Drosophila melanogaster: one gene and its partners. The protein of the gene in region 2 interacts with the protein of the main gene of each other region in a pairwise test. Each region holds a gene or a part of one and is shown on either strand. Other genes may lie near its edges.

Region 1 (8,492 bases), 840 kb from region 2:
CTGCTCAATATGAAGAGTATTGTAATGCCTCGAGGATTTAGCAATCTCTATAAAAAAAAAACCTATTAGCTGATAGTGGAAAGTTGTCAATTAAGCTGCCAATACCAGGAATAGTACTTGAAATACCACGAAAATAACGCTGTTGGGGGATTTTTCATCAAACCTTATCTCTATGGTAAAACCATAATAGTTAAAAAAAGCCTAAAGTCGACTATCCATTTTTGTGTAATTATTTATTTAATACTTAATTTAAAAGGATATTCAATCTGATGGAAACTTACCAGCAAATAACTTTGCCAGGACATTTAAGGCATTCACAAATGGCGTTGCACATGATGATAATCCTCGTTTGAAGTGTGTGTTGTATGAGTATTCGATTGTGCTCCCGAAAATGATTTTAGCGTATTTCGATCTGATCTTGGCCAACTCAAATGGATAACTGACTCTACGCGCAGTGCCATTTTTCCCATTTCGGCGTGAAAAGTATGAAAAGCTCTCAACCTACTGATGGAAAAAGAGAGAAACCGATAAAGATTCCAGTTATAATCAATAAAATCAGAAGAGAGGTGTTAGAAAATAAAGCTTACCACATTTTTCGGAGTGGGTGGATTTGTTTCAGATTATTTGAAGTGAGTATTATAATTTTTGCAATAAATTATACAATATCATTTAATTAGAAAAAATCTAAACATATAAACGAAAATGTAATGTAAACTAATGAAATTATTTTTTTTACAACGATAAATGCTCTATAACGAAGAAAGTTTCCAGAATAAAATATTTCTTAATGTTTATTCGTGTGATTAAATAATTTTAATACTTAAAAAAATACGAATGTACTAAAAACTGAAAGCTAAACAACATTAATTGATTCCTCGGGGGTTCACTTTAGCTTTTTGGCAATTCCCAAGTGAAATCAGTCATCTATAAGCAATCTTTATAATGGCTGTAAAGATATGATAGGGTTTTTTTGTACTTTTACGCGAAGAAATACTCGTTAACATTAAGGTTATGTTAAAACTAAGCACTTAAGGTAGGTTCAGTTCACAGGAACCTTATCAATATCGCTAAAGTTCGACAAAAATAGCCTTATTATGATTTATTTATTATAGGTTATTATGGTGGTACAAAACAACCATTTTGTTGGTTTTAACTTTGATTTATTTTGAAAAATATAACAATCCAATTTTGGGTAATTTTAAGAGGAAACTGTGTCATGATTTCGATATTCTCCGATTGAAATTGGTAAGCTTTTTTTTTTTGGGACCACAAGTGAATAGAGAAACACTCCAATGCTGGTCCCCATTAATGCAGGTCGCCGATATATTCGGCGACACCCGATCCCAACTGCTGATGTAGACACTTTGGTGGACTTCTTGAACGGGCACTTACAACGTAAGCAGAGTTCTCTAGCCCTAAGCTCAGTCTGAATTCGCGTTTAAAGATGGTCACACATGGTGTCCTCGGCTTGGGATTTCTCATTGTTGGTCTAATTCTGGCCACGGACGCCTGGCTGTTATCCGAATCTGGTTTAAACGAATCCAGCTACAAAGTCCGTCATCTATCGATGCACTTTTCGCGAGTGTTTCTCAGCGTAAATGTAGAAAGCAACGATGCGCCCACTTTGATCGAGGCGCAATGGCCGGTTTCCTATTTTCCCATGCCCACTGTCGTCTTTCCCCACATCGATGTTCATTCCATGGGGGATCATGATGATTGCTCTCTGGTACAACAGGCACACTGGTCCCAGGTGGATGCACTGAGTCGACTGTGGGTCATGGACATCGGATTTCCCGGCAGCACGTGCTCACCCCGTTTGTTTGTCTTCGATCTGATGCGTAACAACGCGGAGCTATTGAGAATCGATTGTGGACACCATATAGGTGCTAATGACACCCACTTTCTGACTGTCCAAATGGGACCCAAGAGTCCGGGATGCGAGCACGAGCGCCATATTTACTTCATCCTTGGAAAGGTACCAGAAATTCTAGCCTACGACATCCTGGAGCAGACGTGGCACCGCCTATCCTTGGAGAGCAATAAGTACGAGAATATGAATCAATCGTTTCCCATCAAGCCAGTGGATTTCATCTTCGGAATTCAAGGGGAACTCATACTCTCCGACCAGGATGGTGATCTATACAGTACGGTGGACAGACTGGAAATTGAAGGCAAAAGCGAATTAGCAAGCAAACCAATTAACAATAGCATTAAACTCACACATTTGGGCAGTCTTCTGGGCAGCAGTCGCAGCATGATCATCGACAATTTCGGAACATTGTACTATGTTATCCCCAAATTCGGAGCTGTCGTACGATGTGCCAAACTAGCCAACATCACAGCCGAGGGCAACGAAATCATATATATCACATCGAAGAACATTCAGCAGATTTTCTTCACCTCCAATGATGCATTATGGGTCCTAAGTGATCGGGTCTTGAATGCGAAGGACATGTGCTTTCCTAGCTTATAACATTTAGTTTGTTAATATAAATATTAAAATTATATTTTACTTGATTCAAACACTGCTGGCCTGGTGTATATGCTGCTTTCTTTATTATTCGTTTCATCTAGCTTGGTGATGTATTTCGTTTGGTTTGATAATAATGCTATGAATAGTTAATAGACCAAAAAACAATTTAATTAATGGCTAACAGTTTGCTTATTCAGATAAGCCATTAAGGCCTGGAGCCGCTTCTTGATGTTCTTCTGATCGTCCAGAGTGCAGCCAAGCAAAACGCTCTCGAACTTCTTGTCGACCGGCCCAACATCGGCCTCGGGCACGGTGTCCATGTGTCCGGATGGATCCATTGAGCTGCTGCAGCAGGCGTTTAAGTAAAACTGGCATCGTTGGCGTCCGATCACGGGATCACCCATCTTGATCATGCTGTCAATCAATACATTTATCTGGCTAAGGGAATCCTCCTGAGAGTTGTCCCGAACAGTGCGCACACGCAGCTCCACGGTGGCCAAGCGAGAGCTCACCCGTTGTAGGTACAAAATGATCTCCTCTCGTTCAGCTGCAAAAGAAGGTGGTACAACATTAGCTCACAGTCAACTATGAATAACCCTTTACTTAGTTTGTCATCAGAAACCATTACTTCCGACTTCGAAATAATACACATTTTAGTAAAGCTATGAACAATGAGGGTTCAAATTAGTTTTAAGAATCACTGTCACTTACCTTCGCTCATGTTCTGCATCATTTCGTTGCTCTTGATCAGATCCATGGACATCAGAAGGTAGTCTTTCTTCTCCTGCAGGTTGAGTGCATCCTTGCGCAGCTTCTCCACACGTGCATCCAAACTATCCAGTATGGTGACAAATCTGCGAGTCACTCAAAGGTTAGTCACGCTCAGTGGTTATTATAAATTCAAGATTTACCTCTCGCTGGCGTTAAATGGTCTGTCACATGTCGGTTAAGTGTGATTGCGGTTCAGTGGTTAAGTCATGAAACGAGACAAGCAACGTTAGATTGTTAGATCGCTCTGCTACAGATCGACTGACCACTTATAGAGCTACGAAATTATAACCAGAATATGTCTACAAGAAAAGGCGCTCGCACACAAAGCTCTTTTGAGAGTTGTGTGGGCGTTCGCGGCAGATACTTTAAGCTATCACCATTACTATTATGGAACAAAAGATTCGAATGAAGCTGGTAGCTGGTAGTGTGAAGAAATAATAGATAAGAAACGTATAACTTTTGTTTCGCTACGAGGTTGTGTGAATATAATCGGTGGTATTGTTTTGGTTTCGTGTCTGATTTGGTTTTAGTTATGATGGAATAACAACCTGTCCAGAGCTCTACTATCGTCGACGAGTCCGTAGGAGCTGTTCCCGCCATTGCCACCACCTCCGGATCCGGATGGGGATGAGGAGGCCATGGCATCGGCCCTCAGGTCTTGCAAATGATCAAAATTCATGGATGCCTCCGAGTGGTAATCGCTGGGCGAGATCTGATGCAGCTGCTGGTGATAAGTACTATGGTGATGATGATGAGTGTCACTGGTTTCCTGCGTTGTTGGCGCATCAACTTCCATATCCTGCGGCTGCTCCAGATTTGATTTAAACCTGTCGCCCTCCAAAAAGCCGGTCAAGTGTTTGTCACCCAAGATGGTTGGATAGCTGCCTACTGTTTCGTTTTGGGTTTTGGTTTTATCTTATTTATTTTTTTTTAGCCGCTTTGCTGGCTACTTTTTTTGGAATGTCTTAAGCTTTTTTTTTCGAGTGGGTGTCGAAGTGTTTGATGCTGTTGCTTAAGCTTAATTTTATCTGTTTTTGCTTTGAAGCTGCAATAAGAGAGAAGAGGAAGCGTGAATGCGCAGAATTCAATTACCTATCTGAATGTGGGCTGTGAAAAGAGCCTTCGGTCCAGGAGGCGTCAAAGCCATCATTGGACTCGGGCGTATCGGCTTCTATATCTTCCGGATATCGGTTTATTATCTCCGCCTCCTGGGCGGGTTGCGGCGGCGGTGGCGGCGGTGTTGTGTCCGACTCGCAGCGACGCCGTTTCCGAAAAATACCTCGAAAATTCTCAAACATTCTCGGCTGAAATCACCAATTTTCTAGAAGATTACGCCTAATTCTTCTTCTTTTCTTGTGGCAACCGATGTCTAGGAGAATCCCCGGGTGGCTGTTTTGAACTTGAATAAATTACCTGCCGCCCGAGACTTGAGGCTCCGGTTTTAATGCACCTTTGGCCCGATGCAAAAATATTGTTGATTTTTCGAGTTGGGCAGTTTGAGTTAGATGACGGGAAATGCTTGTGTTTCCAGATAATTCGTAGACACCGATTAATCTAACTTTGTTAGCTTCATTTTTGAGCACCTGGGTTGTTTACTTCGAGGGTCAATCGAATATTTCGCTTTACTTAAATGAAGATAAGTATAAATATGATTAATTTAACATTATATTGTGGGATTTGTATGACCGTGTCTGACTACCGCAAAAAAGAACAGTGGCCATATAGTCAACTTTATCGAAACCGATTCATCGAACATTGTTGTCGAAAGTTAGTGTGTACACACATTAGTTCTGGTTTTCATCTGTAATCGGCGGGAGTTTTAAAAGTAGTAGTACTTTTAAAAGAAACCTCTCTAAAAGCATTTGGTATCTCCCAAAGTTCAAAAAATTGTATGCTACATATATTAAAACTTCTATTTTATTAGTGGTGCCAAATTTAAATCTCGCACACACTGAGCCGTGCGCGACCATTGACAACTTTTGGTGGCAATATCGAAGAAGTAATAGAAAGGACATTGCTGCAGGCTGGCGTGTCCTTTGACGCAGTAGATAAAGAACTCGCATCGCTGCATATGGGGATACAGATGCTGTCCGTAGGCGGGGCAGTGAATGAGATCACTCGAAATGGCGGTGCCACCGGATGGGAAACCGGAATTTCCATTCGTTGGCATATCCTCCTGACCACCTACGGTGCACTGGGCTCTCTCCGGAATATCGCATTTACCCGTCATTGCATTCCAGTGCAATTGCGAGCTGCACTCCTGCAAGATCGCCTGTCCATAGTAGCAAATATAGTACTTTCTGCAACTACTCGAGCTGCCGACATATACAATCCTGTCGCTGGATTGTTGTTGCTCCACCAACGTGGAGCAATAAGTGGCGGCATCCGTGACCATGTTATTCGGATCTCCATCACCATTTCCGCCATCGAATGGAGGAGTCTCTATGGGATCCGTTTCATTTCTGCACTTTACATTTGTCGCCGAATCGCAGAGTCTGCTCTCCGAATTGAAGAGCATCGTTGGTGGGCAGGAAGCCAGGACTGCATCCCCGTTCTCAACGCACAGGTAAAACATGTGGCAGTCCTCCGCATGCTCCACAAACTCACCAACCAAATGATTGGCACATATTCTACTACCACTCTGCCTGATGGTCACCGAGTTTGTGGGCTTCGATGGTCTCCAGGTTAATTGCGCTGTGGCCAGCAAGCAGTTCACGATCAAATAGAAAGCTGGAAACCAATAAATTCTCATCATACTATTAGTTTTGAGAATATCCATCTTACTAACCCGTATTAAGCATCATCGTTTTTTCTATCGTCAGACTCCAGTAGAGCGCAGTTATATTCTAATTTCGTAATGCCCGGTGAACTTGGCATATATGTGATACATTCGGCGCCAAGATACAGCCGCATATGTGGCTCAGTATCAGAAAATTAACATTTTCAATTGCTTGTAGGAAGAAGTTGATAAGACTCCTGTATTTTGTTTTGCCAAAAAAGAAATATGGCTCCCTTTCCTCGCAATCAATCGATATCGTATCTCGAAATGGCAAGCAGATACAACTTTAATGCTGGATTTTTAATTTTAAAGTCTGGTGAAAAGGAAGCCGAGATTAGCTAGGAAATTGATTAGGTGATATCACGATGACATATGTTGTCCTTGTGAGGAAAATCGTATCATATCGGTCAAATTACTATGTTTCAAATCGAAGGTTGGCCTATTTTGGCAAATGTTTCGATTCAAGGTCTTCATTTTGCAGAGATATGAAAGAATTGCTTGATATCACCTGATAAATTTAGGAAAGAGTCAAGGTCGGCCGTGTTGCTTGATAGTTTTACAAAGAAGTCTTATTGATTACCAGTATTTAGGTTTATTCCATATGTAAACATACAACACTTTATGTTCAATATTTTCAATTTTTCCACAAAGCTCGTTAATTAACTAAATGTAAAATTTCGTTTTTTTTTTTTAATAAATATTATTATGTGTATTTAATAAATTTTCATTTGCATTTGCAGCTTGTTGTAGCATTTGGCTTGACCTAGTGCTACACAGGATCGCTTCTCGTAGTCCCATCCGTAGAAGAAAGGACACTGCTGGACCATCAAATAGCCAGAGCGACACTGGTAAAAGTAATTGCAGTTGTCGGAATGCGGATAAACATCGATTACATGTCGCTTGCACTGCTCCCTGGGATTATAAGTCATGGCCTGTAAATAAATAATTTATTATACAAAAATTATAAGATATGAAGTACCATAGGTTAACCCACCAAACACCTAACGTTTTCGGGATGATCGCATTTTCCGGTGAGTGAATTAAAGTGCAAACTGGTGGCACAACTCATGGGAAGTGCCACACCGCGATAGCAAATGTAATAATCTGAACAGGAGTTCTGATTTGGCAGCAATGCGATACGACTCTGATTATCCAGTTGTGGGCACACATTGGTCACAATAATCTCTATAGCAGGCGATACGGAAGTCGTACTGCTGGCTCCACTTTGATTGACTGATGGTCGTAATGTGACCACTGCCGATGGGGCTAATGTGGTGATTACAACTGTGGAAATCGTACTGGACTCCGAGGTAATCTCCGTTGAGGAGCTGTCGGTAGTGTTTTCCCTTTGCACCTCCGATCCCGTGCGACAGTCGATATCGCCCATGGGCTCACACATTTCCATATCTTGACTAAAGTATTCGCCATCCTCGCATTCACCATCGTATGACTCATCGCCGTTGCAGAAGATATAATGTGCGCAACTCTTTGGCGAAGTAACAAAGGATAGGTTGTTACCATCGTTACACTCATCGAAAACATCCGCATGACTGGTGGCCAGAAATAGGAGGGACACCAGGATGGATCCAAACTTCAATACTCCAAACATCTTCTCAGCTCGATCTCGAATGGTAAACTGATCGATTGCGTATGCAAACTTTGGGGTTTTCTTACCACCTTTCGTTATCAGAAAATAATTTGCCCATGAACACGCCTTTGATAATTGCTTTATTACAAACTGGGATATGAATCTTACAAACGTAAGCCCGATGAACGATTGGGTTTTGTGGCAACGCACTGTCCCTGGGCGACATCGAAATGGAAATTCTGTGGGCACTGCTGGAGCAACAGATAACCGGAAATACACTGATAATAGTAATTGCTATTTGCCGGATAGGGATAGACCCCGTTCCTTCCACTCGTCTTGCAGATGACATAGACATCGGTGCTCGGAACTTGGCTTGTAGTCGTGGTTACAGCAATCGTTGTTGGCGTGGTAGTAGCTAAAGTCGTAGATGTAGTATTGACTGGCTCTGCGGATGGTGCTCGTTCCGTAGAGGTTCCTATGGGTCTTAATGTGGTAACCGGTGTGGTAACCACATTGGTATAACACTCCACGGCCTCACGACAATCCCCATTGCAGTAGTAGGAATCATCGCCATCGCAGTGAACAAACTCACTGCACTCCTGATTCTCATTGGTCACCTTATTGATGATCACACCTTTGCATTCCTCGAGAAAAACCGCCTGCACCTGCACCCAGAGGTAGCCAGGTAACAGGCAGGCCAAGACTATCAACAATTGCCACATTCAATAGGCTTTCTGCACTGCCTCATCGCCGAGATCAGTGCCTTCTTTATAGGTGGAAATGCTGTGCGGTTTGCTTGTTCTCTGATAAGACTCTAAATTCATTTTTATTTTCTAGCTATAATTGTTTAATTTGACACGACAAGAGGCTTAATTAAAAGT
Region 2 (7,330 bases):
GCCCAGTGGCCCTTAGTCGCAGTTTGTTGGTAAGCAAACGCAATTAATGGCCTGATGATGCGGATCGTGGTGATGGATCAAAGCCGGCTAATGATCGTGGAACAAAGTGAGGAGTGACTATGACGTGTTTCCTAAGAATAAATGCAAGACAGAGCACCATTGTGCCAAAAGTAAATTTTTTTCCATTTTTTCTTTGGTGGCTTATACTGTGAAAAGTGTGAATATCTTTATCTTATCTGAAAATTTAAATATTAGAAATGTGATTGATGGCTTAAGTGATTTCTAAGCCATATACTTGTGTCTTTTTCAAGGATTTTCTATAATAATGAATCTGAGATATAATTTAAATTTCCGATTTGCATCATTTATTGCTCAACAATTAACATATTTTTTGCGAAGACGACCAATCCAAAGATTAGACTACTGGCAGGTAGTTCCTCGATGGAACTTGGGCCTGCGTCTTGGTGTGGTAGTTGTACACGAATCCTGTGGTGGTGGGCTGGTAGACATATATCGGCTGTGAACGAACAGCGATGGGAGTTGGATTCGGTATCACCAGAACTTTCTTCTCGGCGAGCAACTTGTTGCGCAGCTTCTCGGCTTCGAAACGCTTGAAGAATGCAACCTTAGCGGCGGCCACCTCGGGAGTGTCCCGAACAGGCTGTGGACCCACGGAGTAGTCTCCGGCCAACCTCAATTTGGCCTGGTTATGGGCCTCCAGATGCTGTGTTCGCAGTGCAGCCACTTCAGGGGTTTCCTGATTGGCCTGCTGATTGGGCAGATTGGAGGTTACATGGAAGCCCTCGGCATCGGCCACATAGTCCACGGTCTGGGTTTCGCCATTTGCATCGATGTGGGAGAAGGTACCCCGGATCACACCATCCACGGTGCGGGTCTCGTGCTTGGAATACAGTGGTGCCATGTAACCATAGGCGTACTGGCCATGCTCATCCTGGTGGTGATACTGACTGATCGTATCCGAAGTTGGTGGGGGACCGTACTCCAAGGTTGGTGAACCGACGGCCAAACCGATGGTGGTACAAATCAGGCAAAGATTAAGGAAGTACATCTTCTCAAGCGTGGCTGTTTAAGATAATTGAGGGTTTTTTTTAAATTTTTTTAAGGCGCTGCTAGTGTGGTGAACTAGTACTCGCTCTAGAGAACTCTGTGCTGGGATCGATTGGGGATTCTGCCTTTTATAGGCGGCGCCTACTGCCAAAAATTTACAATTTCGTGCGTTCTCAGGAAGGTCGTCCGGTTGGGTTTTACTTTCATATTCCACCAGGCTGGAGGATTATTGTTCCTTTTTCCTCTTCCTCTGCTTCCTCGCATTTTCGTACATAAATATTTTGTCGATTTCGATTTCAACAAGTTCAGCATAAATTTGAGCACAAAAGCCGCAATTTGTTTTCATCTGCGCAAGGGGCAGCAACACTTATGTACATACATGTATGTATGTATCTTATAGGTATCGCACTGCATCGGATGTGGACATGTACAGAGACAAGCAACAACGTTCCGCAATGCCACAAAGCAAGAACTTAATCAGGCTGCTGGCTGCTCTTCAGTGGCTCCGGATGTGCACTGAGAGAAAGTGGAGTTGAAAAATGAAGAAAAATTATGAAATGAAGAGAGGTTGTAATTTTTTAATTAATTAAAAAGCTAAGACTTTCGTTATTTTCGAGCTAGAAACAACGTTATTTAAATAATTAGTGTCGAATGATAACCAAGAGTTACCATGTTTTAACAGCACTTTTAAACTTTTATAAAAATGTGTCATACTTATTGGTCATTTGTTTCTCTCAGTGTGAGCTGCAAATCATCCGGATAGGGGTCAAGGAACCGGGTGGGGCTATAGGACACGCCGGCTACCAATTCCAGTTTTAGTTATTTAGGTTGTTGCCTTTGCCGTTGTTTATGCTGCTATTAAATTTAATTGAAATCAAAATTCGGCCCACATTTATGAAGAGTTTATGCTGCACATATGTGGAATGTGATCGGTGGGTCGGGGGGCCAAAAGGTTGAGGTAGGACAGGGTCCGAGTGAACGTGTTCCGTGAGTCCAGGAGTTGGGCAGCTAAAGGGTTCAGTTCAGCCGGATCTTGAACTTTAGGTGTCGCGAGTTTAGTTATGATTATATTCAAATAAAGATACAAATGTTAAAACTAGAAATTATAAAGAAATTTGTTGATTGAAGAATAATTTTAGAAAGAATACTTAGAAAGAATATATTTCGAACAAATATTGTGTTACCAAAATGAATTTGCTAAAAATTTCTTTATATTATCCCATTACCACTTCAAAAGAAACGTTGCAGACTGATTGACAATTTTTTAATTTAAATTCGAAATTCTTAAATAATGAACCAAATCGTGCGAATTCAGCTGCCATTCAATAGTAAAATCCGGGGGTGTAGTACCTGGGAATGGTGTAGCCGTAGACCGGAGCAGGAACCACGACATGGTGGCTGCGAGCCACAGCAACTGGAATCTTGGCCAGCACCTGGTTGCGCACGCCTTCATCGTGGACGCGTTGAAGATGAAGCGACTTGGCCGCAGCCACTTCTGCGGTATCAGAAACGGGATGAGGCAATTGGGAGTGGCCACCATGGGATCCGGATGGGTCTGAGCCAGAAACCGGGTGCTCGTGGTGTTCGATAGAATGGGGCACCTCTGGATGAGCACTTCGACCGCTCTCAACGACAGTGTGATGATGAGGAACCTCAACGGGATGGTTGCCAACAGGATGCTGAGCTACAGCAACGGGGTGCTCATGGTGCTCGACGGGATGATGTCCATCTGGATGAGCACTTCGGCCGGTTTCGACAACAGTGTGATGATGTGGAACTTCCACGGGATGATGGCCAACAGGATGCTGAGCTACAGCAACGCGGTGCTCGTGGTGCTCGACGGGATGATGTCCATCTGGATGAGCACTTCGTCCGCTTTCAACAACAGTGTGATGATGTGGAACTTCAATGGGATGGTGGCCAACAGGATGCTGAACTACAGCATGCGACACCTCCGCGTGATGCTCAACATGGTGGTCTACTGGATGCGACGCGCTCCTGGGACTAAATTCTAGCGACTCCTGGGGAACTTTAGCCTTTGGCAGATTAGTGGCTGCCACATGGAAACCTTTGTTGTCGGCCACATAGTTAACCGTTTGCAGCTTTCCCGCCGCATCCCGGTAACTATAGTATCCTTGGGTGATTCCGTCTAGGGTGCGGGTCTCCTGTTTGCTGGACAATGGTTCCGAATAGCCATAGGAGTACTGACCCAACTCATCCTTGGCGATATACTGGCGCTGGGTGGGCGTGAACACGGCGGATCCCTCGGCAGTGTACGCATAGGGATAGTACAAGGCCAGTCCGTGGGCCAAGCTGAGGCTTCCTAACAGCAGAAGTGGATACTTCATGGTTGGGCAGTGGAAGATTGCTTCGAGTGAGTCTTGTTCGTCAGTTCACTGGTAACTGTTGATTCTGAGCCTAGGTCTTCATCCTTTTATACCCAGCAGGTTCTTTCGCGAGTTCTAGGTTCTGGTTCTGGCTGAGGTTCCTGCCGGTCAGATGCTTCTATTCTGATACACTGCGAAAAAATTCTAAAAGTATGCCATATTATTATCTAAGAGAGTATACAAATGTTTTATGCTCTTTTACCCTAATATAGTAACGTGATTTTTATGACTTAAATTAAATCCAAAAATAAGTAGTTCGTAATTTGTTTAATAATGATTTGTACAAAGCTTAAAACATAAATTTAAATGCATATAAATAATAATATTGCTAAAAAAGACTGTTCTTAAATTCCTGAAATTTTAATTTTATGATTATGACAATCATTAAAAAAATATTTTATTATTGATAAAAAAGGTGGTTTATTGTACTTAAATAGAATTCATCAAATTTGTACAAGCACACGTATTTCATTAAAGAATAACCTAATAGTAATAATATCTGTCACATTTTAAAATAGTAAACAGCCAATTAATTTTTTCTCCAAATGTATCCATCAGATGCACTTCAATGCAAACGAGGAGATGCGAATGCGTCGTCGTGTCCACTTGTGTCGTTAACGGACATTGCAGCTCCGCCTTTCACTCCCCTTTTGGGGATCGACGCCTCGTGAAGGCGTTGTCAATTTGGTTTAATTGTGGCCAAGGCTGGAGTGGGCCCAAATGAGGGAGGCAGACCCTGGTTCTCCGCAGCGGGAGGAGCAATCGCTGCCTGGCATCTCCATCTGCATCTGCATCTGGATCTGCAAGCGAGCCAAGGGCCTTGGCTGGGTGGACCATCAAGGCCAAAGACCGCATCCAGACCAGCGTGTAATTGATATGCAATCGTTGTTGCTGCCACAGCATTGTGGCATCTCAGCCTCCTTTTTGTTCGCACACTGCAACGGGGCCACGACAACAACAGCAACTTCAACTGCAACAGCAAATGCAACAACTGTGGCAACAACCGACGACGACAACAACGGCATCTCAAGGTGAGTGAAGGCCAAGGGCCACATTTGGCCACAGCTTGGACACGGGAGTCATGCACTCCAGTGGCGAACAAAATGGGGGTCTTAGGGGGGTCATAAGTACCCTTAAAAATTATAATACTTGGTTAGATACATATGTATGTACATAAGAAATATATGTTTTATGCGAAGAGCTTACAAATATGACACAGAAAAGGGTTAATTAAATCGTTAAGTCCGCTAAATAAATAATATAATGTGAATTTTTAGACACCTTATAGTATACACTGAAGATATATACTTATTTCAACCGGACACTAAGAAAACCCCCTAAGAATATGTTTCCCATCCGCCTCTGATGCACTGCAGCTGCATTGGTATCTCCTGTTCCTCCTTCGCTGGTCATTTTTATTTTTAGCAGCGGGCTTATCGGATGCCTCAGATCTCTGGTGCTTAAACTTCGCTCCCGATTAGGAGGAGGAGGAGGAGCAACTGCAAGAACCACATTGGATTGGCCTTGACGGCTCGGCTGATAAGTGCGTTTTAATGTTAGCCCCGTTGGCACTCAGTTTCAATCAAAGCCCAATTCTCTACAACCATTCCAGCCTGGCTTAATGAGCTGGTTAGTTCTGGCCTGGAATTGAAGTTGGATTGGCAATATAGTCCGGTCCACTTGGTTCACTCCCTTTGTTCTGTCTCGAGTGGACTGTGCCCTGATTTGTGTACCACCATTGGTTCTTTGAACTGCCTTCGTGGCTAATTAAAGGTGCACTTAAGATAGGCCAGGTGGCAAGAATCATGTTTTTCATTTTTCAGGACTGGGAGTACTTTGATTTTATGTCCTAGAAAAAAAGAGCAAACGAATCAGTCTAAAAGGTATTTCAGCTGTAAAACATTCCATAAATATAGGAAATTTAACTCTTTCTAATTTTAATTAAAGAATATTCTAAACGTCATCTGGTCAATAAACTAAATGAATATTGTAGAATGAAATATTTAAATTACATATCAAACATTGTATATTAAATAATAATAATCAATGGACCTCTGTTTGTAATACCTAATGCTTAATTTACGAAATTAATTAGAAGTCTCCTCAGGGTATTTCGTTTTCCAAGTTAGTCTTTCAGTTGCTTTGTATTTTGGTTTTGGGCCAGGGCTATGACTTCATCGAGTTGGCCACAAAAACTTACCAAATTCTTCCGACCGTCAGTTCTCATAAATCAATGTCAAAGGTTTTTTTTTCGTTCGTTTAGGGTTTGTTTTGGGTTTAGGACGGGCTTGTTGTTTCAGTATGTGTTTAATCATTTTATGGAGTGCGAAGTAATTTCCTTATGATTTCCTATTTGACTTTTACTTTTTCCTGAATGTCCAAAATAGAAAAGTTCAAAGAACCCATTTACCTAGTAAGGCGGTCGACAAATCTTAACCGCTTGAAATAAGTACTCATTTGCATAGCTAAGCATGAGCTCACTGGTTAGTATAGCCCAAGTCACACCCCAAAAACACGTCTAAGTAAGCCCAAAAGATACACCCTTCATTATTCGAATTGTCTGGCACTTGTTGTGTGTGTTTTTTGCCCAACAATTTCACGCATCGTTTTTTGTTTTTTTGCGCTTAAACAAATTTACTGACTACAAACTCACTGTTTTAGTAGCTCAGACTGTGTGGCGAACCCCTCCCCTTCTCTTTAGACAATATAAAATCAGGAAAAGCTTTAAGCTTTATTCCCTAGAATTTCACTCACAACAAACCAAAATTTTGAGTGTAACTTGTTGGTTTGATAAGATTCTGGTGTGTAGCGTCACTTTTGTTATTCTGAGTTGTTTTTAGGTCTCGTTTGTTTCTTTTTCTTTCTGATAAATGGCTTCGTCGTGTGGCTTTCGTTGTTAGTTTTCGTGTATAAAATTTTGCGAAATGAAGTCATCGCTTGAAAAAAAATTGGGGGGTCAGTAAAAGTGTCTATAAGATCCAAATCGTTTTCCTTATCTCATTCAGAAAGTTTTGGAATTTATGTTAGCTCACCAACGATTTGCCATCTTTTCTTTGGATAAAATGCTAAGGAGGATTTTCCTTTTTGAGTTTCTATTTCACTCAGCGAAAGCTCACTCAAAACAAAAATATCACTCATACGCCGCTTGGGCCTTCGCTAGCCACTGGCTGCGCATTTGTCCAAACAGTTGAGTTTCGACATCGCCAGCATTCGCGCGTTTGCCTTAAAGTGATTGGAAAATAGCCGAGGAATAAAACAAATATTTTTTTGGAAATATATTCAAGAATTTTTGGAACTTTTTTAATAACAAATGTAAGTTGGAAACGTTTCGAGAAAAATAATCTAGTTCGTTGGATTTATTTTTTTTTTTAAAATGTTACTGTATCCTGCATCTATAAGCAGACTCCGAGCCAAGGATATTTTTTTTATTCATTTTATGAGTAGCAGGTTCATATTTTCAAGAGCAGATTTTGACCCACTTACCGCGCATCGCGTTCCCCTTTTCTTTTGTTCCTGGGGAGCACCATTGTTTTCGATTTCCTTTGGGAGGTCCTGATTTAGGCGCATTTTCCCCGCTTCCGTGTGTATATATGCGTGCATTTGAATCATCAGTCTGAAATTCCAGTACCGAGACCCCCCAGGAAACCCCTTCTCCAAACTGGCGCTTGCGCGTTTCCCAGCTCCCAGTGATGTCATCTGGGCTAGTGGTGATGTAGCTACACATTTCATACACATATTATGTCCCGAGCATAAGTCCCCCTCCTAAGTCAATGATTTCTCTATTGCGTTGCGTGCTCTATCAGAATGCCCATGACTTCCTGTTTTGTTCCCCCCAAAATAAAAGTTCTCTTTAATTTATGCATTCAGTCCGAGGT
Region 3 (8,720 bases), on a different chromosome or scaffold from region 2:
ATCATGATGCGGCATGTTTCGATTCAAGAATAAAAAAAAACATAGGGGAACCAACAATATAACAACAATATATCTCGATTCATGAATGAAATTTTATGATTCGTTGCGATCTTACTAAGCACTAATGAAGTTGTAAATTATGGAAGGCAACATTAACATTTGCCCCAAACAATGTGGCTTAAAGGGTTGAAATTACATTGGCTTTTTTTTTTAAAGAAGTCAATGTTCCACATCAATAAATTGTAGGCACCAACACAAAATATTCTTATAAAAGTAAGATTCGGAAATATGTTCCTTATAGAAGGATTGCGTAATTGGGGTAGCATTTTATGATAATAAGAGTAAGTTTTTATATGTTTCATAAACACTCAATCCACTTCATTTGATTTGATTCAACCCGCTATTAATCACCCAAGCTGAATATCTTCCAGTCTTGGTGGTTCCCCACTCTGGTAGCGACTAATTTATATCACGATAAGATCACACGCTTGAAGCCGCCAAAGCCAATCACATTCCCATCTTGATCGAACCCTCGATCCCCCTCCCACCCGAAAACCCATCAAAATCAGCCACTTAGCCCATCTCGCAGGGAACACACACGTAGGCGCCTCCAGCAGCAGGTTCTTCAGTGTCCGTCAACGGAGCTCGGAATTCGCCGGACACGTTCGCGGACAAAGCTCGATGCTATGGGGCCCACTTAATACGTTTGATGGCAATAAGTTGACGCCAGCCGCCACAGTTGTACCGCTACATCACCGATAAGGCGGCGGACGGCTATTTGGAAAATCAAAAGATTCACAGCTCCTACAAACAGAGGGAAGTGTTAATGGATGTCACTTTAGTCGGACCCCCCCTCCACACTTTTTGGCTTGATCCACCTCTGGATGACATTAAGCTTCATCAGACATTCAACCCGATGCTGAATTAGCATACAAATTACACACGAGCACTAGCACTCAAAAATGCTTGAAGTTTGGGATTTTCGAATTTTCGGTTTTCTGACCACAACAAAAAGCCGACAAATTTCGCCCCAAACTCTTCCAAGTGGCAAACGGCTACCGATTTTATTATTGATAATGTTTTGATTTATCACAAAGATATACAAATTGCCACTGCCCCAAACTTCGGTTGAGGTCCATTCTCAACCGTGCCGCAGGGCGCGGCACTTTTGTGTGTATCTTGTGGATAAACGCTGGGGCATTTCATTCCAGGCCATAATTTTTATGCGGTAGCTCGAAAGTCGGTTGTTGGTGTCACTTCGTGCTAAGTTTCATCGTATCTGCACAGAGAGAAATTGTGTGATTTATATCTCTTTCTTTTATACATCGAAGATGAAATTGTAATTACAGATATGCTTCGTTTAACAGATACATATAACTGTTGTAGAATTATTTTAGATATCCAACCTGATCGATAAGGATTTAGATTCATTTAACAAAATCGGCTTGTAATATTTTCTCTCTGTGTGGTCTTGCGGCTTCGCCAAACTACTTAAGTTGAGGGATCTCCGGTGCTGGTCTTAATAGACAGACGGATCCGATCCGCATTGACAAATGTTGTTCGTCGCGTTCAGTAAATTGTTTTCGACATTTTCGTGTCGCATTTGTGGTCGAAATCTGCATAATGAGTTGGCAAAACGCTGACAGCTGTCCCAAGTGTCGAAGATTACTCGATGATAAGGCGAGGATCGCTTTGGCCATAAGCGCATTCGTCACAGATTCTCCTTCTTCTTTCGGGCGCAGCTGAAAGGTTGAGGTTGGCTTGAGGATAGCTGCGAACTGGCTATAATTGGCATGCAGTTTTGGGAGCGCTGAGCGCTGATTGTTGACAACTGGCTGGCACAACTTCATCATCGTCAGCCACGGGAAGCGAACTCGATCTCGAGCTCTGGTGAGGATCGGATCGGAGCGACTCGGCAAAACAAAGGGCGACATTAATGCACTGCCAGCAGCACTCTCGAAGTCGCCGAAGGGGCGTGACGAATTTGACACAACGGCAATGACTTTATTAACAACTGACTCCTGCTCCGACATCCCCGATCACCCTGGCAGAAGCCACGGCTCAAACCCCCGTCCATCCCCGCCCCGGGCAATATGACAATATGACAATGTACACAAATACACGAGGACCGTGGTGAAGAGAGCTCTCCGGGGATTTGGGCTTGCCAGATGCGACAATAAACACTTTTGCTATTTATGAGGTTTAAATGAACACGGGTCCGCCATCTTGGGTCGCCTAATGAAAGGATATAGAGCCGATACATTTGGCTTATGAATTTGCAGAATTAGAGGCGTGTCGGATCGGTTGAATGGGAATGGATTTGAGTGCCGGCTCGAGTGGTTCGCTTCCTAGGGGCGATGGCTAATTATGATTGACAGGGCGTGTCTCGTCTATTGAGGCGCCCAATTAAGAGTCGTTTTATAATTGATTTTGAATATGAAGGCAATAGCGATAGCGAATGTTCCCAAGCCCCGTCAATTTCTCACTTCCAAGGCAAGCGAAAGGAGAGAATGCCCTGGCTCGTCAACTTTAGTCAGTCAAGTGTAGGCATTAATCAAACATCGCGGCCATCTTGCCACCAAAATAGGGGGCAGTCGAAGGGATTGGAGAAGGGCCCTTATGCAAATTCAGCGTCATAAATTGCGATGTAGGGTTCGGGTAAAATACATCTAAACAACACCCTTTCAAGAGACTGAATAAACTGGATTTTATATTAACATACTGTGCTACTCATTTTGTCAGCTGGGTACCTGTGTACTTTTGCTGGATCAAGTTATTATTTTGTAATTTTATACGTTAAACATTAAAAGCTAATTTGCCCATACTATGTAGTGTAAAAGTCCAATTTGTTGTAAGCCCTTGATGAGCCCAATAATCATTGGTAATTGATGCTCCGCGCTTTAATAAACAGATACAAACACAAATTTGTTGAAATTGCCACTTCCCCTGATTTCTTTTCCCATCTCGAAATAATCAATTATACTCGTTTTCAAAGGGCAGTGTAGAACCCATTATCGATTACGGCTCGCCAGTTACATCATTTCACTTAGCCGACTCTTCAGTCACATTCCCACCGGCAAAGGGCGCAATGCAGTTAAATAGACATTTGCATGCAAAATTCAAGGAAAAGCGAGAAATAAAAAAGAAAACCAGGACAAACAGCGGAGCGAAATTGAATAAAAAACTGACACTGACAAACAAACGAAGCGAGGCGCATACAGGGCGCATACGTGATACAACGAGCGGACCAAAGTTGCAATCAATTTGGAAATGCATTGAGTTGAGCTGTGGAGTGGGAAGCGAGGGAAGTGGCAAGACAAACGAATGTGTGCCAGCAAAATGCACTTAAACAAATGGAAATATAAATGGGAAAATATAAAATAATATAATCATAAATTGTGTGTAGAGAAACTAACTAACTAACAAGATGCAGCTAGTTATTAGATCTAACAACGATCTCAAGTTAACAAGTAATAAATGTGAAGAGCAAAGTAACTGTCATGTTGTGCCATTTATAGGTTATTACTTTTGAGGTGCAGAATTCGTTCGCTTTTTAATTTATGTTGAGGAAGTTTGAGGGAGAAAGACATTTTTACATTACTATAATATTTTTCATAGGCACATCTATTTATGACAAATAAACCTCTTTCAAAAAGACGTTCTTGAACGAAGGATTGTCAGTTCGGGGAACTGTTTTTCCCAGTGCATCAGAGGTCTCGAAACACGGATTCGAAGAGGCTTGTTTTTCCAGTGGAAAATAGATGAGGAGTCGAAGCCAACGGTACAACGAGACATCATTATTGATGACAATTGAGTGGGCCAAAAGAGAGCTGCGAAAAAGCGGGTGAGCCAACAATTACGATAATTAACGCAGTCAGTCGCCTGGAAAGCGACGGGAAAGAGAGGGAAATAGTGCCGCCCCAGAGAGAGAGCGAGAATGAGAGAGAGAGAGAGAGGGAGGAAAGAGAGCGCATGTCAAATTGTACAAATTAATGACGTTCGCACGTTGACAGCGACTTTTGGTCGGGTGAGGGGGTCTGTATGGCCCTCGACCAACTGCTATTGGTCCTCTGGTTAGCTCTCCCTCTCTCCATCTCTCTCTTTTCTGCTGGCACGCCCCCTTGGCGAGAGCGAGGCGGCGTTTCCAATTAGACAAGCTGCGCAGCTGCGCGAGTCCGTGACGTCATGGGTGCCAACCAGTTTGGAGGCCCCAAAAAGCAGTTGAGAGAGCTTGGCCAAGAAAGAGAGACAGAGAGCCGAGCAGCATTAGCATCGCATTCTGGCCACGAGCCATTTTCGTTGTTGGTGTTTGTGTTGCACGTTGTGCCGACGTTTTTCGTGTGACAGCCGCGCGTTTTGCCGACGCGTTTTTAATCGCCCGTAGAAAAGAGTTTGGAGCTAAGCCGTAAGGATACAGCCAGGATGTGCTGAGTGGCCAAAGGAAAATACACCTAGAGATGCCGCAAAGAACTCCCAGTCCCGCTAACTCTGATGTTTCGGTGGGTTCGCCCAGTCCACCGCCTCTGAGATCGTTGAATATGAAACGATTGCGGCTTTTGAGGAGTCCTATTAGCCTGGAACATGACCGCCAAAAGTCATCACCCGTCAGGGTCAAGAGCTTTTCCATTGCCGATATCCTGGGGCGAGGGCATGAAGAGGATCGTGTGGAGAAGAAGCCGGAGAGAATTGCCATTCCCAATGCTTTACCAGGAGTACCTGCTCCATTGGCTCTGATCAACGAAAGATTGCAAATACCCTTGGTGCCGAATTGCCCTCCGCCGGCTGCACTACATACATTTTTATCGCCCGCTTTGCTCCACAGCTATGAGCAGCGACTGGCCTGGGACTACCAGCGCCAGCTCCAGGAGCACTTCCAGGCACAGGCGCAACTCCTCCGGCAGATGACCCTGAATCCCGCGATCATTGCCTCCGAGGACGGCAGTTCAGAGCGTTCCCAGCGATCAAGCAGCAGCAATGGCAGCACCGAATGCTGCAGTCCCACCCAGGCGGAAAAAGTGGAAAAACGTTCCCAAGAGGACAGAATGGAGGTTCCTAAGAAGTCGCCCGAGGAACAACCAAAGGGGGCCAGCAAATCAAGTGGAGACACTCCCTTGGATGCCCTCTTCCAGCTGTCCACCAAAAACTTTGACGAAGAGCAGGGTGAGTAGTTTTCAAGAGAAAATATATTCCTCTAAATCCAAACAGAAGAAGACTTTGCTTTTAAACTGCGGAACCCAGTGGACAACCAAAAATCATATTCTTCATATTTACTATATGTAAAAAAGTACAAACAAAATTATAGTGCAGAGATAATAGATATTTCATCAGCTTTTTCTCAAGTTTTATCAACACCCCTGAGTATATGAGCTTTTTGTTATATATGATTGGAATATCTTCAACATAAAAATATCCACAAACTGTAGAATTACTTACTCCGCGTTCACCTCTGTGTGCACAACCGCAATCAAATTACATTTTAATATAAACTGATTTCCCAACGAGACCCATCATAACCATTAGCCTGGCCAGCGATTGATCAATTGTTGTCATTACGTCTTGATGAGATTCTGCTTAAGGCGTAAAAACAGTAGTGAGGTCAGCCTGCTCGTCCGAGGTGGCTAAATCAATTTCAGGCCAGCCGGCTGGCAGCTCGCTCGGCATCGCCTTTGATGGCAATTGCCTTTCCCAGACCCAGACCCAGTCCCAGTCCCATACCCATACCCAGATCCACTCGAAGGCCCCAGCCCGGTCATATGATGATGCTCTAGCTGCGGCGAGCTGCTGCTCCAACTCGAACTCAGACTCCAGCTGATGGCTGATGTCTGATGGCTTTGGCGCATGCGTATCGTTCGGCATAATTTGCTTAGCGGCGTTGATTTCTCGTTAAGTCGCAGACGCAAACCGATTTATCCCACACTCGGAATAAAAACAGAAACTGCCGGGAGTCACTGGGAAAACTATTCCTCATAATATCTTCGTTTGGAAAACACATCACCTTGATACAAATTATTGTACAAACAACTAACTAAGAGTATTTAAAAATATCCTGAACGGAACATTTCTTTATTTATTATATCTGCAAATCAATTTCCATCATTTTTCGGTGTAAAACAATATTGGCCATGAATGTCTATTAAAATATCTTCCCACAGCGGCTGTCATATTTTTTCCGAGTGCACTGACCAGCAATCCATCAGCGAACCCATGGTCTGCGCTTTTGTTCATCAGCTACTGAAATTGAATTTACGCGCCGCACGTACATCAGCCAATTGGTTCGTGCTCCACTCTAGATTGCCGCATTGCCGGATTGCTGAGCTGTTGGGTTGTTCGGTTGCCACAGAGCCATCTAATCAGCACCAGCTGATTTGATCGGTTGATCAACTGCTACTGGCATTGAGTGCCGCCCGGGATGATTATGATTATCGCCGAGCTGCACTTAAGCGCCGCAGTTTGCGAAAATTGTATTGCTTTTTCCCAAGACAGCATCCGGTGTGGAAGTGGAAGAGAAGACGCGAGGTTGGCCATGGACTGAACCCTTTCTACGGCTGCCTCCTGCAATTTGCCCGGCTGATCAAAAGCCGTAACCGGCCAGTTGAGGGAAAGATCTGAGACACTTCCGCCTGGTAATTAGGAGCAGCGACAACTCCCATTGCAACGCCATCGTAGCCCCACTTGGGGCTTGGGCCTGCTCACCGCTCATGACGATTGCCGGCAGATAAGCCATAAAGAGGCCCAGGCAGCACATACAAAATAATTACAATGAAAATGGCTGAAAAGTTGCAGCTATTTGAACAATGGACCTGTCGTTAGGTCTTGTCAATTACGCGTAGATACCTGCCACATTACGTCACCGAAGAATGGGTACCCTTTAACACGTTTCAGCAGAGTCGAATGTTGCCAGAAGGGTTTCTTTCTTTTAGATCGTAGAACGGTTTCCTTACATTTTCTCAGTTAGTATGTAGAATTTCTATGGTTCCGCCAATTGAAAATGGAAAGTGGATAATTACTGGGGGAACTACCCTCTTACAGGGTATACCGGCAAACGGATGGCGACTTGGGCACAAAGAAAGCCCGGTCGTGGGGCGATCAGCACGGTCGGTGGCTGCCGCTGAAATGTGGGCTTGATGAAACGCCAAGACAATTGGCACAGACAGCCGCGTTATTGAACGCACAAACGGCACAGAGCGGCGGATGCATCCCTAATTACAATTTAATTACTAAAACTTTTCCCACTTGACAAAAAGGCGGCGGCCATGGCAGTTGAGGACCAGAACACCAGAAGACCCAAAGACTGCGACGCAGCCGAGCATGAACCACAAACGCACCGCAACCAGATACATTGACAGGCCCTAGACACACACACACACACTTCGGCCACAATGATGATGGCTCTTCGGGTTGACAGTTGATTTGACAGATAGCAGTGTAAACATTTTACAAAATGCGGGCTGAGGTCGCGGGGCGGGGCGGATCCAAATAACAATAGTAAAACGCTGGCCGGGTGTTAGTTGTTAGGCTGCCCAAAGAGTCGGAGCTAATTAGTTCAACTAGACGTATACTTAATTTCGAATGGGAGCAAAGTCGAAAATGTAAATAAGTGGCGGATTGAGCATAAATTATAGTTATAATTGGAAATTCGCACGGAGAGTGGGCCGGCCTGTGTGCTAACTACCATGCAAATGGATCCCAGTCAGAGCTGTTAGAGGGCAATTTTCAGTCACGTCAAATCAAACGATCCATAACCGGTCCACATCCACAAATGGTGCTCCCATGTCCCATATGCCATCGCAACTAATAGGTGGGGTAATGGCTTTTCGAGATTCTACTTTCCGAACAACGTGACATTCAGAATGGCATGCCTTGGCTTAAAACGCCCCCTACAATGATAATACGTATATGTATATCTGCTGTGCCAGATAGATTTCCATCTTTCGCATTAGTGGCCACTTGCCCCGTAATTGCTGTTCAAATATATTTGCCTCCAGATCGCCGGGTATTAAAAATCTAGTTGCTGATAAAAAAATATTAGTGCTGCGTGCATCAAAATCCAAAAACAATTTAGCACACAGATATTTGGATAACAACAATCTCTCTGTTAGTTTATTGTGCTGGAGAGCACAAATTGTTTAAAATACCAAGGTTTCATTTGAGTTCCTTGCCAGCTAGGCACAAATCTACTGCACATTCCGACGATCAATGCGCAAATTGATCAATTGCACTTGCAATTTCATTCAATTTAAATGTTTCCCAAGAATCCCATTCAATAGGCGAAAACCTTTGGCAAAAGTCAACAAGCTCCCAGTTCAGACTACACATAAATCAAGCAGACAAAAAGAAATTCCGCTAAAGTGTAAAAATAAAATTCATTTCAAATGATTAATAGCTGCACAGCGTTTCAACAAAATTCGTTAATGACATTAAAACACCGAGCGCGGCAAATACTAATACTATAAAAAAAAATGTGATTCGCATATGTGCTTATTGAATGCTAGAAGGCGAGACTCGTTTGCCTCAATAAAATCGAGAAAAATGACTGCGGGCGCAAACTGTTCTAACGTCGCATAAAATATGCATGAGATATTGCAAAAAGCCTCCGAGCAGCCGAAACAAGTTGACAAGCCGGCGTTCGGCATAAATTCTCTAATTAACGGTTGCGCTTCAAATATTTTATTAAAAATTATAATTCGCCAGTTGTAAAAGTGGCAGAGAAATATGAGTTT
Region 4 (7,673 bases), about 10 Mb from region 2:
CGGTTCAGGCTCAATCCAGCTGTCGGATTTTCTTGCTACCGCTATTATGACGGTATTTGCATTGTGTTTAAACGTATTTGAACACGATTTTCAGTCAAGGGGATTGGATGAGTTGGCTTAGTTTGGGGGTAACCGAAATGAGCAGGCAATTTATTTACGGTCAAATTGCGAGGTTAGGCAAGGCAAACAAAGCGGCGCAGGTCGCTGCGCAATGGGATCCCCCCGGATCTGCCATTGTGGGCGTAAAAATGTGATAAATATGAAATGTGATTATGGCTGCTATTATGTAGCACCCAGCCAGGATGATGATGAGGCTTATTATGGAGTTGCCTTCGTGTTGGCGAATCTGTGGTCGCCCTCGGCGTCGTTTTGAGTGAGTGGCTGCCATGGAACTGTCTGTCTTGCCATTCTGGATGCGGTGGCTTCCTTGGGTAAATGAAATGGGGAAATGTGATTTTGACGATGTGTTCGCTTTACGGCAATGGAAGTTCATATGGGTGGCGCTTGTTTGTTTTCGAGGGCGTCGGAAGTTGTAATTGTTTTTTAAAGGAAGCCTGAATTGCTCATTGGGGAAATGCACGAAATAAATCAAGACGAGTGACTATAAACGGGATATCTCGGAATGGGCGGTAAAATAAAACTTGAATTGTCTTCAAATTTTTTGCCTCAGCCAGGATTTTGGCAAAAAGAACTGAGCTAGTGAGATGTCTGTTAAAATCAAGACAATACTTGCGGCATCATGAAAATTATTACCATTATTATTAGGAACTTAGATTAGAAATGTTGATAGATTTGCACACGTTATTACTCCAATATTATTGATAATAAGCTTTTATTTTAGGTGTTGCTCCTTACAGGCTTACCACCTTGTACCCCAAGTCCTTTTATCTCTTCACCTTAATGCTCCACACCAATTTGCTTACATTAACTTTCCCAGCAATTGTTTTCCACCCCCCACTCCAGCCATGTGAAAGGAGCTTGGAAAATGTCTTTATCAAGTGGCAAGCAGCGAACACAAAGCCATAAAATGCTAATCCCATCATGGGAACAATGAGCAGAGCGGATCGGAGCAGAGCGTTTGCCGTTTAGCGATGCCATCAATTGATACATCAGTCGATAAGGCAGGAAGACGTCCTGTGAGAATCCTGGCTGGCTGCTTGGCTTCTGTGGCACGGGGCTAACAGGATTTGGCCACGCTAAATCAACGCAATTCGATGTGGCTCATTTGAGTGCAGCAACGAGCCAAGGAAATCGCTGGGGGAGCAGCCACCACCCAAGGAATTCGTTGCGCTTTGTAGGAATTTGCTACGCTACAAATTCGAGGCTCATGGGAACTGAATTCCGGAGGGTTGGCAAGTGTGGAAATATTGAAATTCGAAATACATTTTTGCCAAAAACTGCACTAGTACTCCGCGATGATGGGTTATCCTGGAAGCTCGTCGTATTCGTCGCGCCGTCTAAACGAATGACTGCCTTTTTTGGGCGCAGGACAACCCCGAAGTATCCTTTCATCTTGTTACAATTTCGGTTCCCAGCTCATTAGCGTCGGCGTCGCAGTTTTTGTGGCCGCATCTAATTGCTGCATGCGGCCAAAATGAATACTGCTGAATCGCAACTACAGAATTCACTGCCTCACTGCGCTAATAAGTTGAACATATTCTTCGCTCTACTAACATGGCGTATGTTACTTTTGGTACCCGCGAAAATCTGGTGCTTTTTCTGGTCCTGGGAGCCTATGTTTTCGGTCTACCTCACAATCGAAATAATGGGTTGTCCGGCCAGGAATTCAAAGAACTCCATATGCTGCCAAATCAAGATATCTTCGTCTTCTAGAATCCCTGGTTTGGGATTCTTTTTTTCAAAAATTAATTGAATTTTAAGCTCGGTTGTCTTTTGGGATTTCTTATTAAGGTGGCGTCTATATAAGCTTAATCACATTATTTCGAAAGCATAGACAACTCATTGGCTTTTGTTTAAGCTTTTCAAAAATATTTGATTGCAATAATCCTCAAGCTCATTTTCATAACATGATTTTAGAATACTTCAGATCTACTACAAGATAAAATTTCCCATTAACCCAAATTTTATTAATAAAACGTGATTACTATTGAATTGGCATAACAATTAGATTTTTATTGAAACATTCAGCCACACATTGAATTTGCAACTTAGCCATAATATCTTACAATGATGAAACTGAAGATCCTTTCGGGTCCTTCGATAAGAAAGATAATTAATTGAGATACAGGGAGATCCAGTTACATATTTAAGATACAAATTGCACTACATTTAAAGCTAAGGGGAAATTAAATCGGAGCGTGGGGGAAACTAAAGTTAATATCACAATCGAAAATGGGCAACGGGTTTTGTTTTTGGGGAGTTAGTTGACTTGATGACTTAAAAATATCCGAAGAAATGCTTCGATCATTTGGGCATACCACCCATTCGGCGACCTGGCGGTGTGCCGCCGACCACGTTGATGATCTCGTTGTCACCGGCAGATGAGGATGAGTCCTCCAGCTGCGGCTGGTGATCACTGGCCTTGTCCTGGTGGGCGGTCATGTGTCGCGTTAGATGGTGTCGCTCCCTGAAAGTCTCCTGGCAGACGGGACATCGGAGTTTCTCCTCCCGCTTCCGTCGATTTGGATCGCAGGCCACTTCGCTTTTGTGATGGGATCGCATGTGATACACCAGATCACTGGTCATCCGGAAACTTATGTTGCACTTGGCGCACACATTCTGAGCGGTCAGTGTAAAAGTGGATGCCAATGTGGGTGGAATCAACGTGGAGAGAATGGCTGCTGCAGCGGGATTCTGGAGAGGTTGGGATACCGCGAATGGATGTGGTGGCGGAGCAAATCCGGGATAGGCATGCAGGAACTCCGACGGTGGACCCGGTGGTGAGTTTGCCTGCATAGTAGGTCCTCCTCCATTGGGATTTCCAGGTCCTGGTGGACGGGTGTACAACAACTGCTGCTTAAGGCGCTGCTGTGCCTGCAGAGCCTGCATGGGATTCACCGCCTGGAAGGCTCCGTTGAACTGATACTCCGGTCGGAAGTTGTGGTAGACTATGGGATTTGCTGGCAGGGGATTTGGATTCTGGCCACCGCTATTGGTTCTTGGTGGAGGTGTCACCAATGGTGGACTTATCGAGTGACAGCTTAGCTGATCGGGACTCAAGGGCGGAGCTCCCGCATCCACGGGTGATTCCAAACGTGAAGTGGTCGATGGTGAGGATGATGAAGTGGACAGCGACGAGGAGGCTACTTTGGTAAAAGCGCTGCGCATGGGCGGTGGTGGTGAAGAAGTTGATGGTGCCTCTGGAGAATCCACCAGGGGTATGACCACACTGGGATCATCATAAACCCGCGGCGAACGGATGCTGATCTGTGGATACCGCTGGCGTGCCTCCAACAGACTAATGTACTCCAGTGCCGCCGGCGAAGGTGGTTGCGAGGAGGTTCCTCGAGGAGACAAATCTGTGGGATAGTGGCTCATCTGCTGCTGCTGCTGTTGGTGGTGATGATGGTGCAGTGCCTCTTGAAGGCGAGCCTGCTTCTCGGCCTGCTTTTGCTTAATCCGTTCATCGGGCATCATGAGGAAGGCCACATCGAAGGCGCGTTTAAGAGTGGTCTTTCCACCCGGTGGCGATGTGGGTGTCTCATTGTTGTTATTGTGATTAGTGGTTTGATTTTGCTGCGGTGACTGTTGCGGTGATGTGGAGATCCTAAGCTCGGCGTGCTGAGGCGGCGTTGGGCGACGCTGGCCAGGATTCGCGTGCGACGGCATGCTATCCATGAGCAGATTCATTTTCACTTCAATACACTTTTCGACTTTCACTTGGCTCTGGTAGGGACTTTGGGTCTTTGGTTCTATACAGTTCCTTGCGATTCGAAATTCCAGTTTCGACTGCTGGCCGCCCGCAATCTGTTCCTCTTTAAGTACCCGCTGCCACAACCACCGCGTCCAGTTGGAATTCTCGTATTCTCATATTGTCCCATTCAATTGGGAAAAAGCAACTCTCCGCACTCGCGGCACTTGGCCCATCTGTCCTGATTCTGCTCGGAGTCTGTTCAGATTCAGGTCCTGCAGAGAGCACCACCCTTATGTTCCTGCTCTTGCTCTTTCACTCCCGCTTGTCCTCTCTTTCTCCAGCGGTCTTCTCTCTCTTTCTTTGGCCCACTCTCCGTCTCTCCAGCGTTCCATCTGCTTTGCCAGTTGGCGAACATATTCTGTGGTTTTATTGTGCGAGTCCTAGCCAGGACGACTCCTGGTTGGCTAGCATTCACGGACAGGTTGGCTTGTTCGAAAACCTTGTTGTGCTGTATGTGATGCATTGGTACAATGGGCAATGTTGTTGTTAAAGTTGTGTGATATTATTTAAAAAACTTAATTGATTAAACTTAGAAGGATTTGAAACTAGGGTCATCTATATGAGAAGTTACTCTTATTCATTCAAAAGAGTTGAATATCTTGAAGTAGTTGCGCTTAAACTTCATTAGGTAAATGTTTTCAAATATTTTACAATAAATAAAACTTTTTCGCATGGTTTCCATTTAGATTTTTACCAAAACATTATATTTTACTAAATTATTTTCCCTGTTCCGCCCACTGTGCACTCATCTCTTTTCGCAAGGAGGCGGTGCTTGATCCTGGCCGCTCTCTCGCTTGCTCTCTCTCTCGATTTGCCTCTCACACCCACCCCGAAAATATGGCAGGACCTGCCCTCTCTGTCTGGCTCTATGCCCGTCTCTGTCGGTGGTGATGTCCTTGTTGCAAGTGTTTCCGAACAGGTTGTTTTTGTCGATTTTTTAGCAGTTCCAGCGAGATTGTGTGAATATGTGGCCATGTTTTGTGCTGGTGTATTTGTTGCGTTTGTTGCTGCTGGCTTGGATTTTGAGTATATGCTGCGCGTAGCTTTTACATATTGCCAACTACACACACACACACACACACACACGCTCTGGAATTGGGGTTCCCCCGTTTTGTAGGCGACTGTTGAGCGTCGAAATCTTTCAACATACCGAAATATTTATTTGTCAGTTAAGTTAGCGCTATGTGGAAAAAGTGGCAAGTGCCCAGTAAATATGCACATGCAACAATAGCAAATTGTGCAATGCCTTCCGTTCGTTTTCCGTCTCGTTCTGATCCCCCGTTTATTTCCCTTTTTTCCGGCTAGACCCTAGATCCTGGCAGACCGGATGCAAGGATGTGGCCATTGCCAGGACAAAATATGTGTCTGTTATGGTCAGTCGTGAACAGGGTTTGCAGCTATGGGGTGTATGTATATTTTATTTAAATTTTCGACTCTTTTGTTGCACTTTTTGCTTGCAGCCATGTGGCTGCAGCAGCGGCAATTTAATGTTTGCATATTTTCAGGTGCTAATTGTTCCACTTGCCATATGAGTTGCATTTTTAATTAATATTTATAGCCAACAGCCGAGTGTGCGAGTGTGCGTGTGTGTGTGTATGGGTGCATTTGAGTATCTGTGTGCTGGAGCCTATAATTCGCATGGTCGCCATGTTGGCTGTCGACGAAATTAATATTAAACACATGATTGCCTTCCAACATGGCCATTTCATTAAAAATATTGTTTAGCTTGTATTTAATTAATTGCCGATCGAACAATGCAAGCTCAACCCATGGGCTGATGTGATTTTAAATTGATAAATAAAATGGGATATTCAAATGTTTGGTGCAGTTGATGCTTAAAGCTTATGGAAAATCATTTTAAAATATATAAGAATTAATTGGGTTACCCAAGCCTATTAAATGCTGGAGTCTGAGTAAGTTAAACTATATCTGATCAGTTATCTTATCTTACATCGGACCAATTTCCTCAATATATTACTTATTGTCACATCTCACCAGAAATTACCCCCATTTCAATTGGACTCTCACATATGTGACACGTGTGCACAATTGAAGTCAAGTGAAAATCCCGAACACATTCTCAGTTCATTGCAGTAAATATTTTCAGCGCAAACTAATGAAAATCTCCGATATACAAATCGAGCACAAAATTTCCACTAAACCCAAAGGCTTATCTACCCCTGCTGATCTCGCTCTATTGCTAACTAGATGATTTTGTCTTGTCACTGAGCCAGGGGATGGAACTTTAGGTGGGTTGGTTGTTTGGTTTAGCGCCTGTCGATACATCAAACTGCCAAGTGACAAAGTGATTGCCCCGTTGTCAGGCCGAGACAAAGCGCAAAAAGGCGTGAAATTGCCTTTGTGTGATTAAGTCGAGACCGAAGGAAATGCGAGCAAAAGCGAGGAAATGTCCCAGGAAGCAAATTAAAAACTAAGATGGCAATCTCTCGACTCAAGTTTAGACACAGCTACGTGCTCCTTATGCCCGGGCATAGCATCCTCGCCGGGTTTCAATTATCCTTGGTAAGATAGCAAAATGTAAATGCTAATTGCTTCAAGTTTAGCGTAGAGCTGGCTACGTTTATTCCGGAGACAGCAGACACCTTTTCCGTGGAGATTGTGGCCTCGGTTGATGTTAATGTGCTGCCTGTCTCCCGTAATCTTTGTGTTTTGTGTGGAAATCCTGGAGGAAACAGCTTCTTGCTGCCTGGAGATCTAAGCGAACTAAGTGCACAGAAAAGTAAAATTGTCGAACTTCTGCATGTTAAATTTCAAGTTCAAACAAAAAGATATACATAATATTATTAATACCTTTAATTGTGTTTTATAACATTTTCAAATGGTATTCACATATTTCATAAGGTTAAACAGATAGCATCGGGTATCACATAAACGGGTTTTAATATTTGATATGCGATAAGTTTTATCACAATCTTTAAAGCTTTTTGTTCAGTGGATTATGTTGAGCTGGCGCAGTGGAAGTTTCCATCGAGTTTTACTATATTGCATACTGCACTTGCCAACCCTCAGGACTCGCAATGTCCCTAGAGTACGGAGTAAACTAAAACTCGAGTCCTGTTCCGGATCCAATCAAGTGCTTTTCGCGCATTAAATAAAAATTCGAATTGGATTTCATGTGAGCAGGACGAGAACCTAATTGTATGAGGGTTGGAGGACTTTGTTCCTTGGAGGGCTGCATCTAAATCCGAATCTCGAACTGGAACTGGAGTATTTTGGAGGGTAGTTGTCGGTTTCGACAGCCCCTGTTTCTGTTTGTTTAAATACCGTGAATAACATGTGGTTTTTTCGAAGCATATGGCAAGGACTTTGTCACTATTAAGGTGCCTTCTGGTCCTGGTTCGTCCTCCAGTTTGCCAAATCCTCCAATTAGACTGTCATTCATTTAAACGGATTAAAAATGCGCGAACGAGGGTCGCACTCTTCGTTCTAACAAGGCCCGAGGGTCAGTGGTGATGGTGGTAGATCTTGTGGTTGCTTCCCAGTTTAGTCTTAGTCGGATTAGAGCCCTTGTTTTGGTTAACAAATCGGCTGATGACGATGTCTATTCCGATTCTGATTCCAATTCAGATTTCTATTCGGTTCCAGCCCTGTTTACTGTGCGTCGTGTTGGTCCAATCAGTTCGAGACGCACATTCGCCTGCAATCAAATCAAGCCACAAAAACATTTTCTGCTGTCATATGCAAAACGCCAACGATGCCACAAATGCACCTGAGTGGGTGGATTATGGGTGGCTGGGACTTTATCTAAAATGCTTACGCTTGAGAAGCTTTCAATCGA

Evidence for each region.
Region 1: the proteins of Cpr72Ea (region 2) and CG7945 interact in a two-hybrid assay, tested with the Drosophila melanogaster proteins (one large-scale study listed by BioGRID).
Region 3: the proteins of Cpr72Ea (region 2) and lbl interact in a two-hybrid assay, tested with the Drosophila melanogaster proteins (one large-scale study listed by BioGRID).
Region 4: the proteins of Cpr72Ea (region 2) and CG13287 interact in a two-hybrid assay, tested with the Drosophila melanogaster proteins (one large-scale study listed by BioGRID).

The regions. Positions count from the first base shown.
Region 1 is NT_037436.4:15,519,176-15,527,667, forward strand, and holds CG7945 (uncharacterized protein), read right to left. Parts: upstream 4,963-8,492; 5' UTR 4,658-4,962; exon of another isoform or gene 4,543-4,657; coding exon of another isoform or gene 4,337-4,542; intron 4,290-4,336; 5' UTR 4,041-4,289; coding exon 3,793-4,040; intron 3,406-3,792; coding exon 3,385-3,405; intron 3,328-3,384; coding exon 3,185-3,327; intron 3,021-3,184; coding exon 2,644-3,020; 3' UTR 2,536-2,643; downstream 1-2,535. Other genes in the region: mex1 (midgut expression 1), read right to left, coding at 282-334; yellow-k, read left to right, coding at 1,445-2,473; CG33986 (uncharacterized protein), read right to left, coding at 5,157-5,974, 6,033-6,048; CG33985 (uncharacterized protein), read right to left, coding at 6,737-6,955, 7,018-7,632; CG42729 (uncharacterized protein), read right to left, coding at 7,776-8,333.
Region 2 is NT_037436.4:16,358,736-16,366,065, reverse strand, and holds Cpr72Ea (cuticular protein 72Ea), read right to left. Parts: upstream 3,464-7,330; 5' UTR 3,417-3,463; coding exon 2,391-3,416; 3' UTR 2,316-2,390; downstream 1-2,315. Other genes in the region: Cpr72Ec (cuticular protein 72Ec), read left to right, coding at 1-47; Cpr72Eb (cuticular protein 72Eb), read right to left, coding at 416-1,069.
Region 3 is NT_033777.3:21,429,705-21,438,424, reverse strand, and holds the start of lbl (ladybird late), read left to right. Parts: upstream 1-4,291; 5' UTR 4,292-4,457; coding exon 4,458-5,160; intron 5,161-8,720.
Region 4 is NT_037436.4:5,878,544-5,886,216, reverse strand, and holds CG13287 (uncharacterized protein), read right to left. Parts: upstream 3,914-7,673; 5' UTR 3,811-3,913; coding exon 2,425-3,810; coding exon of another isoform or gene 2,398-2,424; 3' UTR 2,127-2,397; downstream 1-2,126.